2 linked regions of the Astyanax mexicanus genome follow. The protein of the gene in region 1 purifies or fractionates together with the protein of each later gene. This does not show direct contact. Links are inferred from orthologs where the notes say so. Each region holds a gene or a part of one and is shown on either strand. Other genes may lie near its edges.

What was found. The genes of interacting proteins can lie anywhere in the genome.
Region 2: the proteins of ryk (region 1) and pcdh7b purify together in Homo sapiens (affinity purification with mass spectrometry; 3 studies listed by BioGRID and IntAct, with this or other methods). This does not show direct contact. The link is inferred for Astyanax mexicanus from reciprocal best matches to the Homo sapiens genes RYK and PCDH7.

Annotation. Positions count from the first base shown.
Region 1 is NC_064412.1:48,568,290-48,575,769, reverse strand, and holds the start of ryk (tyrosine-protein kinase RYK), read left to right. Parts: upstream 1-4,375; 5' UTR 4,376-4,889; coding exon 4,890-5,097; intron 5,098-7,480. UniProt on the Homo sapiens protein: May be a coreceptor along with FZD8 of Wnt proteins, such as WNT1, WNT3, WNT3A and WNT5A. Involved in neuron differentiation, axon guidance, corpus callosum establishment and neurite outgrowth.
Region 2 is NC_064415.1:22,294,059-22,301,942, reverse strand, and holds the start of pcdh7b (protocadherin-7b), read left to right. Parts: upstream 1-4,800; 5' UTR 4,801-6,064; coding exon 6,065-7,884.

The DNA of each region.
Region 1 (7,480 bases):
TAAAAGTTGTCAGCAGAGGGAAGCATGAAGTGCTGTAAGAACAAAACTTTGGACTTGATATAAATAAACACTTAAAATTGATCATTCTGTGTGTAATACATCTATATAATATTTGACTTTCACATTTTAAACTGAAATACTGAAATAAAGTATTTTGTCAATGATATTCTCATTTTGTGAGATGCACTAGTATATATTTTCTTTAATTATTTTCATTTAATTCCTTTTTATTTTCTTACAGGAGGTTGGATATGCAGTACCATGGGCCTCAGATCTTACAGACTCTTCTTACAGAACTCAAACACAGAACCATCACACGCAGAGTCAGTGACCGAGCAGTTCTACGGACAGTTTCTACACATCTCCAGTTTTGTAGATGATTGTGTACAGTACATTCTAGCAGTTACCCTGCATCAGATATCATACCTCAGATGGAAATGTTTTATGATATTGAAATTACGTGGCTGAGTAGTCCCTCAGGGAATTTCTGTAAATGGTAACCTGTTGCATCTCCATCCTACACCTCCTGCATCTCATACAGCCTTCCAAATAAACAGGTGATAAAAATGACTCTTCCCTCCACACCCACTCAACTACAGCATGAACAGTACTGGAAGACTGCCGCATTAGTCTCTGGGTTTGTATAAATCAGACTCCTCTGCTAGCTATCCTGTAAATAGTGTTTATAGGTTGTTTTGTAGGTGAATATTTTAATAATAAAAAATATAAAACTTTTTTGGTGTCTTTTTATTTTATTTCCTCTTGAAAAGCAATTTCCAAAAATAGAAAATTGTTCCACAAACAGTAATTGTGTACTACTAATCTTAACAGTGTGGGCTTTATATTAAAGGGGGCATATTATACCTCATTTTTGAGGTTAGAATAGGTGTATAAGATATACAAAATATGTTCATGAAGTTCTTCACAGTTTCAGTCTCTTCCAGAATGAGTTTAAGGGCTCTGTCACTTTTACACAGCCAGTTGTTGCTGGCCACATGCCATTTTTACACTTAGCATTTACCCTGCATTAGTCTTAGCTTGTGCTAAATGGCAAGATACAAACAAGCTAACTGTGATAGAAGCACAAACCTAATTATTTAAAAGAACTTACATCTCCCTCATCTACTGACTTGCCACGGACAGTAAGTACAGATCCCTCCTTCAGACAAAGTCTGCTGGCTAATCCCGCTGTGTACTCTCTGAGGTTCTCAACCTAAAGGGAATTGGCAAAATGTGTTCATAGGGACAGGCGACACCCAAGTGGAAATACAAAAGCATGCAAAAAGTAAGTTTTGCACAATGTCCCCTTTAATGTATTAACGTGTTTCATACTAAAAGAAAGTGATGATCAGTTCTGAGTATGTAAAGTGGATATTTGTGTACTCAACTTTCACAATTGTATCTATACTACATACTCAAACACTAGTTTATGTTTATATGGAGAACATATTTTGGTTGGATTCTCAAAACCTCAGTAAAAGACTGTCAAACCAGTTGTGGTAATCTTGTGTTAAAGTCTTAAGCTAACTGTTTTTTTTAATCTACTGAAATAGTGTAGAATTATCTAAATGTGTGACCAGAGCATATCAACTCATGAGTGACATCATTCCCAACTGCATGTAGTACAGATAATGCAAGATGTCTTAGTAAAGAAGAGTTGCTGTCAAGTAATTTAAACATGACATCAGATTACTAAATTCCATATAGAAAACAATTAATCCATCATTTTAATAAAAATAACAAAAAATTTCTCGTAAGCTAAACGTTTTTGTTTTTGTGCAATGATTCAAACACACAGGATTGTGCATTATTGCTTCTTGGCTGGTGAAGAATCCACCTATAGTGGTGAAAATAATATTTCGATCATCTGCTCATTTTGCAAGTTTATGGATTTTATCATAGGTTTATTTTAACAAAATGAGACAGAATATCATTTCAAATCCAGAACAAATATATTAAACAAATTTTAGAAATTCATTTTATTTGATTAGGTGAAAAAAGTATTTGATCCCCAAGCAAAACAAGACTTAGTACTTGGCTGAGAATGCAGAGAGATCTAAACTTTTTTTGTAATTGATCACCAGGGGTTTTAGAATATAATATTATTTCAGCTACTGTCTGTATTATTTAAAGTGGGGTCCCTATTAATGCTGTTTTTCCCAATATGACAGGGTGAAAATATTAAATTATGTTATTAGTGTTTCAGGGGCTTAAACTTTTTTTGATCTTGTTTTTTTATTATTTCACCTGGATGTTTTTTTGTATTACAACACCATAGCAACCCCTTAGTAACCACCTTGCAATATCTACAAAGCAACACATTAGCAAACAAAACCTATATCACAGCACACTGCTGAATGTCAGTCACACTGGCAGTTTATTCAGGAACTGCACTGATGCTCTGATGCTCCTGAGACTGTGTGATGTTCTTTCACTGAGGTATATAACAGGAAATATGTGTCCCTACAAACCAGGTATTTGACTTATGTCCCCAGATCGTAATTAATTAAAAACTGTGTGTACACTATATGTTCAAATGTTTGTTGGCAACCCATTTCAATAAAGACATTCTGCTCTTTGCTGACACAGATGTCCAAAAGCACACACACAGCTTGTCTAGACCTCATAGAGAAGTACTGCTAATAGAATAGGGACTCTGGAATAGATAAACAAAGATGAACCTGTTGGAACTATGCCTTATGCCAGGTTTTTCCTTGACAGTAGAGACAGTTACTCCAACAAACGTAGAAGAAACATTGAATGAGCATGTGTCCCAATACTTTTGTCCATATAGTGAATTAGGGTATAGGGTATAACTCCTTTTTTTACCATCTATAGACACTATGATATATACACTAGATGTCCAAATATGTTCGGGCATGAAGCATTATGCATGCAGTATTAGCAGCAATCAGCTGCAGTACCACCTTTTCTCATTCAATGTGTTTTCTTTTTTTTATTATTTTTTTTACATTGTACATTTAATATATATATATATATATATATATATATATATATATATATATATATATATATATATATATATATATATATATATATATATATATGACTATATTAAAGCTATACAGGAACACATGCAGAATTAACTAGTAAACAAAAAGTGTTAGACAAACCAGAATATGTTTTATACTTTAGATTGTCCTAAGTAGCACATTTATCTTTGAAGAAAGATCTGCACACTCTTGGTACTTTAATCTCAGTGTCTTCATCAGGGAGAATCATCTCAGAGTCTTGAAGGAAGGAGTTTCTGGAGGTGCTGAACAATAGTTGCTGCTTTTCCTTCAGGCTGCTGTGAAGCTCCAGCTCATCCTAAATCACCTCCACTCACCATCTCAGTTCATCAGGTTTAATACAAACTGTTTTTTGTTTACTACTTAATTCTATATGTGTCTCTTAATTGTTTTTAAAACATTGTGTCTTTAATATTAATCTACAATCTTGACAATAAATTAAATGAAAAATATAGAAAAACATTGAATGAAAAGGTGTGTCCAAACTTTAACTGGTATTTAAACTGTATTTTAAGTTACACCTTGTCTAGTGCCTGTAGATGCTGTAAATGCTGCCAATAGAATAGGACCCTTTGGAGCGGGCTTCCGTCCAATACTGTTGAAAGGAGTTGCTGAGGATAAGAATGCAATCAAATCCTCACAGCAATGTCTATTGTACTAAATCATCTTGTAGAAATCCTTCTTCACTGGGCAGTAGACACTCCAACAACAAAACATAAAGCTCTGGAAAAAAATAAGAGACTACTTAAAAGTGATTTTTCTTTGATTTTACCAAATTGAAAACCTCTGGAATAGAATCAAGAGGAAGATGGATGATCACAAGCCATCAAACCAAGCTGAACTGAATTTTTGCACCAGGCGTGGCTTAAAGTTATCCAAATGCAGTGTGTAAGACTGGTGGAGAAGAAAGGCTAAGATGAATAAAAACTGTGATTAAAAACCAGGGTTCTTTCACCAAATATTGATTTCTGAACTTTTTAAAACTTTATGAATATGAACTTGTTTTCTTTGCATTATTTAAGGTTTGAAAGCTCTGCATTCTTTTGTTATTTTAGCCATTTCTCATTTTCTGCAAATAAATGCTCTAAATTACAATATATTTATTTGTAATTTGGGATAAATGTTGTCTGTAGTTTATAGAACACAACAACAATTCTTATTTTACTCAAACATATACCTATAAATAGCACAATCAGAGAAACTGATTCAGAAACTGAAGTGGTCTCTAAATTTTTCCATAGCTGTATATGAATAAGCAGGTGTCCCAACACTTTTGTCCATATAGTGTAATATGTGCGTGAGCATGCGCAGTGGCGTTGTTGGGTGGCCCCGCCCCCTTTCTTCAGTGAAAGCCGAGATTGTAGCGGAGGGGGAGGAAACACTATGAAAGGAGAGCGCTGGACTCGGAGACTTTTTGGCGCTGGAGTTTACACTAAATTGCGGAGTTTTGCATTTTAATTTTACTTTTTATAGCAGGAGAAGAGAAGTAAGAGTTTTAACTGAGTTTTCTTACAGGGAAACTCTGCGCTGCTGCTCCGTACACAAGCGAGACGCCCGCGAGACGCCTAAACAAAGTTAGCCGAGGAGCTAGCCTCTTAGCTCGGACAGCAGGAGCGGCCGGGAGTCGCGGGGTGGTGAAGGTGGAGGAGGTGGAGGAGGTGGAGGGCAGCTGGGCAGCCGGGCAGCCGGAGAGTGCCGAGGCTTCCTTCACCCTCCTCCCGCGGGAGAGTTAAGTTAACTAACTGCTAGCTAACCTAGCGAGTATGTTGCCCTCAGCAGGCAGCTCAAGCTTCGGATGAGGTTGGGACTGAGCTGCGAGGCTGAAGCGGAGACCTACAGAGCGGAGAGTGAGCCGCCATGCCGCCGAATCGCCCGGGTCTGTCCCCCGCCTTGCCGGGGAAGGCGCTCCGGAGCCCCGCGGGCTGCCCGCTCCTCCTGCTTCTGCTGCTGATGGTGGAAGGGGCCCTGTGCCTCGCCAAGCCCGGCGGAGCGCCGCCGCTGAACGGGAATGGCCGTCCGAGTGTGAACGTGTTCATGAGCGAAGAGGAGGTGAAGAAGCTGCTGGGTAAGTGTCCCAGAGTGTCCGAAAACTTTCGGTCAGTTTACCCCGCTGTGTCCTACTAAACACTGGAGAAATAAAGTTGGTAACTCAGCAGGTAAACCAGCTTCAGCTCCAGCGGAGTGAAGCCCAGGCTGTGTTATAAAGTGTGAAATTATGTGTTTTATGGTTTAAAAGTGTTGGTTTAGCGTTACATAACTTTATTAATAAATAAAGTTCAGTTTCTCTTGGAGTCCAGCAGCTGTTAGCTACACTAGAGCTAACAGCTAACACTGTTTATCAGTCCTGAGTCCTGTGGAGGAGGATAAGTTATTACTATAGAAATACAGTTCTTTTATATATTATCTCAAATAAAGGTCTCAATTCCCTTAAATTGAGAGTCTCAAAATACAGTATAATGAACATGTCTAAATGTTTTAGGTATCTCAAAAATAATGAGTATTGAATAATTAAGTATCTCAAAATATCAGTTAGCTTCTTAAAATGAAGAGAAACCATTTAAACTACCCAAAAAATTATCTGAAAAGAATGGATTAAATTTTCAAAATGAGAATATTTGAAAATAACGAGAAGTCACTAAAAATCTAATGATAAACCATCTCAAAATACCGGACAATAATCTCAAAATAACAAGAAATTAGCTCATATTAACGAGAAATCATTCCAAGACAATGAGAAATCAAATTGAGATTTTGAAAAAAAAAACGACTCAAATGAGTGTCCCAAAACAAGGACCATGTATTTTAAAATAAAGAAAAATAATATATTTAAAAAAAGAGTTTTAAAATAATGAGAATATTCATAGTCATCTAACTATGAAGAAAAACACACAAAAAAATGGTAAACAACAAAGAGTATGTTTTATATTTTAGAAGTAGCACCTTTTGTTTAGATGATAGCTTTACCCATCTTGGCTGCATTTTCTCAGTCAGCTATATGAGGTAGAGACACCTGGAATGGCTTTCAGTTAACAGCTGTGCTGAACTTATCAAGAATTAATAACTTGAATTTCTTGCCTCTCTATGTGTTTGAGAGCATCAGTTGTAAAGTTGTGAAGAGGTACAGTTGGTATACAGTGAACAGCCCTATTTGAGTAATGTTCTAATCCATATTGTGGCAGTAACTACTCAATTATGCACAGAAAAAATACTTGAAATGAAGGTCAGTCAATCTAAAATATCAAAAACTTTGAAAGTTTCCTCAAGTGCAGTTGCAATGATCATTAAAACGTTGATGATGAAAGTGGCACTCATCAGGACCACCCCAGGAAAGGAAGAACAAGAGTTACCTCTGTAGCACAGGATAAGTTCATCAAAGTTGCCAGCATCATAAACCTCAAGTTAACAGCTCCTCAGATAAGAGCACCTAAATGCTTCTTCACAGAGTATTTTGGTTTCTTTAACACGTTTAAGTTACTACATGATTCCTTATGTGTTCCTTCATAATCTGGATGAAGTCTATATTCATTTATAATGTAGTAAATTAAATGGTGTGCCAAAACTTTTGACTAGTATTAGTTAGTAAGCTGGAAAGGCAAGCAGTAGATACAGCTCCAGTGGAGTGTCTTTTTCCAATTTGTGTGTTAAGTGTAAATGTTCCTTTAGGACTTAAAATGTTTTTTTTTTTGAGTAGAATAAACTAACTTTTAACTAAAGTCCAGCAGCTGTTGGCTAACCTATCTCCATGCAGGGCAGCTAATGGCTAACAGTGTTTATCAGTCCTGTAGAAGTCATTTAGAGAGAGGAGGATGTTCGTATGGGAGCTCAGACCAAGCAAAGCTATGCTGTTTAATCGAAAAGCATTAAGCATTTAATAATCATACCAAAAATATCACAAAATGAGATTATATCTCAATTTAACAATTTAGTATCTCAAAATAATCAAACCTTAATATTGACAAAATTTAATTATATAACATCACAAAATTAGCATTTCAAACTAGAGTGTTTCTTAGAATTTTAACTTAGTATCTCAGAATAATCAAGTAGCATCTTTGGAAAATGACTGCTTCAAAATAATAAGGCAGTAACTCAAAGTAATAAAAGAGTTCCTCAAAATATAAAGACTATTTTAAAACCCTGAGAACGTGTCTGATAATTAAACTTAATATTTCTGTATTGTGAGTAAAGGTGGTCAAACTATCAAGATCTCAAAATAATAATTTAATTTATCAAAATAATGAATATCTCAAAATTATTATAATAATGACTTTGTATCTAAAAGAGTCTTTTTTGTTAAATACATTTTTTAAGTATTAGCAAATGTACCTTCAAATAATACGTCAGTACCTTGAACATAATGAGACAATCTCAAAATGTTAAAGTATCTTAAAATAGTGACTTAGTATCTTAAAAACATTGATTCATAATGAAAATATGTAGAAACGATC
Region 2 (7,884 bases), on another chromosome or scaffold:
CCTCTGACCCTGTGCCCACTCCCAGAACTTTGTATGCCCCCCGGCCTATCCCCAGGCCTGCTCCCAGGTCACGGGCTCCTAGGCCCGCCCCAAGGCCCCCGGACCTCTGCCCAAGAACTGTGCCCAGGCTGGCCCCTCTAACTACCCCACAGACTTTAGCCAGTCCTGGGCATCCCCAAGTTTTGTTTGTTCCCGTGTCTCTCCCTGTCCTGGTCCCCGTGTCTGTGTTTGTTCCCGTTCCTGTCCCCGGTGGTTTTCCTGTTCCCGTCCCTGTCACTGTGTTTGTGTCCGTCCCTGTCCAGGTATTTGTTCCAGTTCCCCGGTCCAGTTTTGTCCAGCCCCCTGTCCAGTCTCAGCCCCGTGTCCAGCCTCCTGTCCAGCCCTGTGTCCTGTCCCCTGTCCAGTCTCAGTCTCCGTTCCCTGTCCAGTCTCCGTCTCCTGTTCGGTCCCCTGTCCAGTCTCTGTTTCCGTCCACAGTCCAGTCCCTGTTCCCTCTCTCTCGGCGCCTCTGGTAGTGGCGCCGTTGAGGGGGGGTAATGTTACAGTTTAGCCCATGTCTGTCTTCTGTTTCTCCCTTATTTTGTCTCTTGTGCTCCTGCCCCTCTGTTTTCCTGTCAGTGTTCACAGCCATGTGCTATTGTTGTTGTTAGTATTTGTCTCCACCCTAGCTCCGCCCCAGCCCTGCCCTGTAGCATCAGTGTTCTCACCTGTGTCCTGTTTGTAACCCCGCCCCCTCGTCTTCCTAGCCCAGGTGTTTCTCACTCTCCTCTTGTATTTAAGCCCCTCTGTTAGAATGTTCAGTGTCGAGTCTTTTGTATTTTGTATTTTGTATGCTGTATCTTTGTATCCCTGCAGTCCGATTGTAGCCTAGTCTTAGTTTCTTAGTCTGTGTTTCTTGTATCCTCGTCTTAGTTTCTTAGTCAGTGTTTCTCAGTTTATATTATCCAAGCCTTGTTGTTTTGCGTTACCCGTGTTTTGTTTGTTTTGATTTGATTTATCTTGTTTGTTTAAAATAAATATTATCTTTGCACTTACGTCCTCCTCCTTCACACCCCTCCGACGTCTCCCGTAACAGAGAGAGAGAGAGAGGTCTATGTGTGAAGGTTTAATCGTTTATAGATGCTCAATCAGTTATAATAGATACAGATCAATTTATAGCAGTTACTGATACAGGTAGATAGTCTTCTTCTTTACAATCTTCTTTACTACAATGTAAACCCAGAAGTTGTTTAAACTCCAAAAAGTCTGTTTTACATAAATTATACGATATTATATATATATATATATATATATATATATATATTATATGATATTTCTAAACATTTCTTAACTCTTTTGAGTTAGTTGACCATTTGTGGGCACATATATACATTCAAACAGAGATCTTTGAGTTGAACCAGATTATAATAATTGAGTTTAATAACTGTTGTCATTGGCAGCTTCTTTTCCATTGGCTTCTTTCACAATCTATTTGCATACTGGGTGTGTCCAACAGTTTCTGACACTTACCATCAGTGTTTAGTGATACCCCTTGGGCTACCTTAGAAGTAAATCAAGTTCCCTTTTAGTTGTAATAACTTGATGTTTTAATTTATGCCAACTCAAGTTTTCATTCCCCATTACTTGAAACATTTGAGCAAACCGGCTGCCTTAAGAAAGTTAAGGAAACTCAACTTATCCAGTCTTACAATATAACAAAAATAGAAAAGTTAAATCAACTTTTCCTTTAGTTGTAAAAACTTAAGTTTTCATTCCCCATTATTTAACTTTTTTAAGGCAACCGGTTTCCTCACATTTTTAAAGTAAGTTTAACTTATCTGGGCTTACAGTGTAGTTACTGAAAAATGAGTCTTAGATTTAGGTTAAGCTTTAAAGATTAAAGTTTAATGTTCATTTGATTAGTTTAATTGTTCTTTTGCTGCTTGTTCATTGCAGATCTAGACCACCAGGACAGTTATCCGGATGCTTTTGTGTCTGGAATGTCTGCACAGCCCCATGCAAACAGTATGACACTTAATTGGATTAAATACCATGAGTGTTTAATTAACTGACCAGCAGAGAGTGGTCTTGACTCCTTGCTAATCCGGTGCTGCTCGTTCCCCTATGCCGTGTGCTATATAGAGCACAAGTTAATGGCTTTTGCCCTCTATGTAGTGCACTGGAGTTTAAGTAGGGTCCTGCTTGGACACGGCGTGTGTGAGTCAGGTGCTCACACCAGAGAGATCTAAAAATAAATGCCACTATATTAAAAAGTTGACCCCCTCACTTTTGCTGTCCGTGTTAGAAAGGGTGACCCCCTTTAGCGGGTTTCGAGAGCACTCATTACAAATGTCATTAAAGGCCTAATTAGTGCTGCACCTGATTTTTTTTCTTTCTTTCAGCAGGGAATCTGAATTAAACTGATCCCTGACATGTGGCACGAGCTAAAAAAGTAGAAAGATCTGCAGGTCAGAGCTGACTTAGGATCAAATACTGACTTTTAATGCACTAAGAAGACAAAGGGAGCAAAGAACATGTGTGATACAGTGTGTGAGTCTGCGTATGAGGCCTTATAACGTGTAATAGGTAATAGAGGGATTTTGAATGAAAGAGGACGACAGAGGGCGCTGTGTAGCGGCGATTGGAGTGCAGAGAGCTGATGCTGCAGCAGCAGGAGAAGCGCATTGACTGACCAGAGTGGGAAAAAGCAAAAAGCAAGGGAAACACTCTCAGTCTGCACACACACACACACACATACACAAGGGCGCGCGCGTTCAGAGCCCCACTCAGACCAATATTGCTCATATTTAGGGGGTTATCAGTGCAAATAAGCGCGCGTACACACTGTTCCCCTCCCAGATCTGAGTAATTAGCAGTAATTACTCGCATCAGCTGCATGCAGCCTGTTTAATGGAAGGGACCTCATAAAGGGCTGCAGTTTCACATTATTGTAAACGCATCCCGAACAGAGAGCGCGTGATCAGCACTGACAGCCCACCGTCTACACCACAGACCCCCCCAAACACACACACACCCCACTCTCAGTCCCAACAGCTCACACGCGCTGGAGCACACACACACACACAGTCCGGGCTGTTAGACTTCAGATCACGGACTGAGCAGAGAGAAGAGGGACACACACACGCAAACACATACACAGCCTCTCTCTCTCTTTCACTTCATCCCTCCATCCGTCCTCTGAGTTTTGATATCTGCCTCTCCTTCAATTATTGCTCTCCATCCATACCCACACCTTCTCTCTTTATCTCCTTTTCTTCATTCACCCCCTTTTCTTTCCATCCATCCTCTTCCTCTCTCTCCATCACTCTATGCCAGTCTTACTCTCCATCGTTCCTCTTCTCCCACCCTGTCACCTTCTATGTACCTCTCTTTTCCTTCCCCTCTCACTACATCCCGCCATTCTCATCCTTTTCCCTTTTTCTTCATCCATTCTCTTTCTGTAGCAGTATTCCTTTTTCTATCGTTCCATTCATCCTCTCTCTATAACAGTCTTGCTCGTGTTCCTCCCTTCACCGTTCATCTCACTCTCTGTCCGTCTTTTTCTTTCTCTCTTTTCTCCGTCCATCTATTCTCTCTCCATCCTTCTCCCCCCTCTCTCTCTTTCTCCCTGACTGACTTTCAGTTTCAGTCCACGTCCATCCCTACGCTCTCTCTCTCTCTTTTCTTTCTCTCTGTTTCACAACCCATACACTGTCAGTCTCTTCTTTTTCTCTCCCTCTCTCTCCATCCTTGTTTCCTCGCCCTCTGTCTCTCTGTTCCCTTTCTCCGTTCCTCTCTTTCTCTTCCGTCATTCCCCACACTCTTTTTTCATTCTCATTCTCTCCATACAACCTCTTTCTCGACTGCTTTCTCTCTCTCCCTCTCCCTTCCTCCAGTACTTTAAACTTTCTCTTTCCCCAATTATTTTTCTATTCCTCTCTTTAGCTTTATTCATTCCTCCATTCTTATACTCTCTCGTTCTGTGGTTCTGTGTCTATCCTTTATCTTCTTCTAATCTCTCTCTCTCTCTCTCTCTCTCTCTCTCTCTCTCTCTCTCTCTCTCTCCCATTCTCTCCCAGTCGCTGTCCGTGGTGCCCGTGTTCGTGTTTGCTTGGTGTATAACTGTGAATATGAACGAAGTACTGTAACACACACACGCGCGCGCACACACACACACACACACTGTACTGGAACTCCTGGTCGATCCCGCGCGCGTCTGTCTGATAATGATCTAATGACCATGTCGCGCGCGGACTCTGAAACAGTATGAAAAAAAAAAACACATGCGCGCGTAAAAGTTGACCCACAGAACGCAACGCCCCGCGCGCGCCTACAGTAGCCGCCGCGTCAGCGCGCTTACGAGGCGCGGGAGCGCGCTCTGCGCTGTCTGTGCTGAGTCGGTGAGTTGGTGGCTCTGCGGCTCTGCAGCGGAGCCCCGGAGAGCGCGGGGAACCGAACTGAGTTCTGGCACGGTGCCATCTTGCACCTCTTCCTTCTCTTTTGCGCGCTCCCTCACGACCGCTTGGTGTAGTCTAGCCTAATCACGCGGCATTTAGATTAGATCATCTCTGTCCTCGCGCTTCTGATCGGATTGCCTGAAACCAACCAACCAACAAACAAACAGAATAAAAAATAAATAAATAAATAAAAAAAAAAAAAAACTCAGTTCAGCGAGTTGAGGATTTGGGGTGCGCGCACGCGGGCGGTCGCGCGCGCAAAGGGGAGAGAGAGAAAGCGAGAGAGATAGAGAGAGAGAAAGAAAAGGGTCTGCAACATCATTTGCGAATCGCTTGTGGAGTGTCACAAACGCGCGCGCGCTCTGTGCTGGGTGCTGTGCTGCGGGTGCAGAGCGGGGTACAACACGCCGCGGCGGTGCGCAGGACACGATACACGCACGAGACAAGCAGGACAGTGGGGAGGAGGGAGGGACGGTGACTTATTGGCTCCTCGTGCTCCTCGTTCTCTTTTTTCTTCTTCTTTCTTCGTGCAATAATTACGTATTTGTCTTTACGCTTTTTTACTATTCAGCATTATCACACACGTTCATTCCATGCAAGTGGGGGAACTCTAAACCGGCGTGCTTGTGTGAATGTGTGTATGCTTGTGTGAGTGAGGGAGCAAGTGTGTGTGTAAGCGAGAGAGAGAGAGAGAGAGAGAGAGAGAGAGAGAAAGAGAGAGAGAGAGCGTGCGCGCGCTCGTGCTTGCTTGCGTTGCGTGCTTGCTTGCTTGCTGGCGTGTGCGTGCGTGCGTGCGTGCGCGTGTGTATGTGTGTATGAGAGGGAGTGTGTGAGAGGGAGTGAGGGAGCGAGAGAGAGAGAGAGAGAGAGGCAGAGGCAGGGAGTGCGCGCGCGTGTTGTCGTCGTCGGTGGCGGGCGGCTGCAGAAATCTCGGCGGAGGGGCGGCAGGACAGTTCAGTGCGCCGCTGCTGCCGTTTCTGCTGTTTCTGCTTCTTCTGCGCGAGGAGAAGTTGTGCGAATCCCACCGAGAGAGAGAAGGGGAATAAATGAGAGAGAAAACATGCAGGAGGCGCGCGCGAGGACTGGATTTTAACAGCATTTTCATTCACACCCAAACGGACTGAGATCATTTTCTTTTTTTCTTCTTTTTTTCATTTCTTTCTTACTGATTTTTTTTTCATTTGTTATTTTTCTTTTTTGCTGTTCTAAACGAAAAAAAAGAAGGAAGGAGAAAAAGCCTAAATAAATTAACTCGAAAACTGCAGCGTTTGCTTCAGCTTTGCCATGTGCTGAACGAATTGCATCACATCGCAGCGCTGGAAAAGAGAGACTCTTGCTGTGCGGACTCGCTCGGACTCGAACTTGTGCTTGTGTTTGACTTGGACGCTTAATTAAATACGGGGGGCAGGAGACGTTCATGGTAAGGAAGAAAAGGAAAAAGGACTGAGGTGTAAAGGAAAAGCATAAGAAGGGGAAGAGGACAGAGAAGGTGGGAATATATGCAAGAAAGAAAAAGCAGCAAGAATCAGCACAAAAATTTGATCAGCTCAGATTCATTCGTTTGATTTTTTTTTATTGCTTATATTTTTGCCTTTTATTTTTTTGGAGTGAAAAATCATCCCGGAGCGATGAGGACTTCTACCGCAGTGGACTGTATATGCTACTGCTGGCTCCTGCTGCAGCTGCTGAGTCAGCCCGCGGTGGCAAAGCAGGTGCTGCGCTACCGCCTGGCCGAGGAGGGTCCCGCGGACGTACGCGTGGGGAATGTAGCCGCCGACCTGGGCATCGTAGCCGGGTCCGGCGAGGTGACGTTTACGCTCGAGTCCGGCTCCGACTACTTCAAGATTGACAACATCACCGGGGACCTGAGCACCAACGAGCGACGGATCGACCGCGAGAAGCTGCAGCAGTGTCAGATGATTTTCGACGAGAACGAGTGTTTTATTGACTTCGAGGTGTCCGTGATCGGCCCCGCGCAAAGCTGGGTGGACTTGTTTGAAGGAAAAGTCATCATCCTGGACATCAACGATAACACGCCGTCCTTTCCCTCTCCCGTGCTCACCCTCTCCGTGGAGGAGAACCGGCCCATCGGCACGCTGTACCTGCTCCCCACCGCCACGGACAGGGACTTCGGGCGCAACGGGATCGAGAGGTACGAGCTGATCCAAGACGGCGCGGAGAGCTCCGTGAGGCGCCTGGGCTCGGCAAGCACCGACGCGCACTCGGGCAAGAGGAGGTTCGACGACGCGCAGAGTCGGAGCAGCGTGTTCGAGCTGCAAGTGGCCGACACCACGGACGGAGAGAAGCAACCGCAGCTAATTATCAAAGGCGCGCTGGACCGCGAGCAGCGCGACTCCTACGAGCTGACCCTGCGCGTGCGGGACGGGGGCGACCCCGCGCGCTCCTCCCAGGCCATCCTGCGCGTGATGATAACGGACGTGAATGACAACAGCCCGCGCTTCGAGAAGAGCGTGTACGAGGCGGACCTGCCCGAGAACAGCTCTCCCGGTGCCCCCATCCTCCAGCTCAAAGCGATGGACGCCGATGTGGGGGTCAATGGGCAGATAGAGTATGTGTTTGGGGCAGCCACTGAATCTGTGCGGCGCCTCCTGCGGTTAGACGAGAGCACAGGTTGGCTGAGCGTGCTGCACAGGATTGACCGGGAAGAAGTAAGTCAGCTGAGGTTTACAGTCATGGCAAGGGACCGTGGTCAGCCCCCTAAGACTGATAAAGCAACTATGATCATTAACATCAAGGATGAAAATGACAATGTTCCAAATATCGACATAAGAAAAATTGGGCGCATCTACCTGAGGGACGGTGTGGCAAATGTGGCAGAGGATGTGGTAGTGGACACACCCATTGCACTTGTCCAAGTGTCAGATCGTGACAAGGGACCAAACGGTGTGGTGACATGCACAGTGGTTGGTGATGTCCCCTTTCAGCTGAAGCCAGCAAGTGAGATAGAAGGTGACATGAACAAGAAGAAATATTTCCTGCATACGTCAGCACCGCTCGACTACGAGGCCGTACAGGAGTACAATGTTGTCATCGTGGCCGTGGATTCAGGCAGCCCCAGCCTGTCCAGCAACAACTCACTCATTGTAAAAGTTGGAGACATAAATGACAACCCGCCAATCTTTACCAAAAGTACAGTGGAGGTCTCATTTCCAGAAAACAACGCCCCAGGTGAGCGTGTGGCGACTGTGGTGGCTTTGGATGCAGACAGTGGCAAAAATGCAGAAATTTTCTACTCGTTGGACTCCTCAGTGAACGGAATATTTTCCATTGATGCAGACAGTGGTGACATTCGTGTTAACACCATACTTGACCGAGAACAAACTGAGCGCTATGAGTTCAAGGTTATTGCCAAAGACAAAGGAGTGCCTGTCATGCAGGGCTCAGCCACAGTCGTGGTGCTTGTGGCAGACAAGAATGACAATGAGCC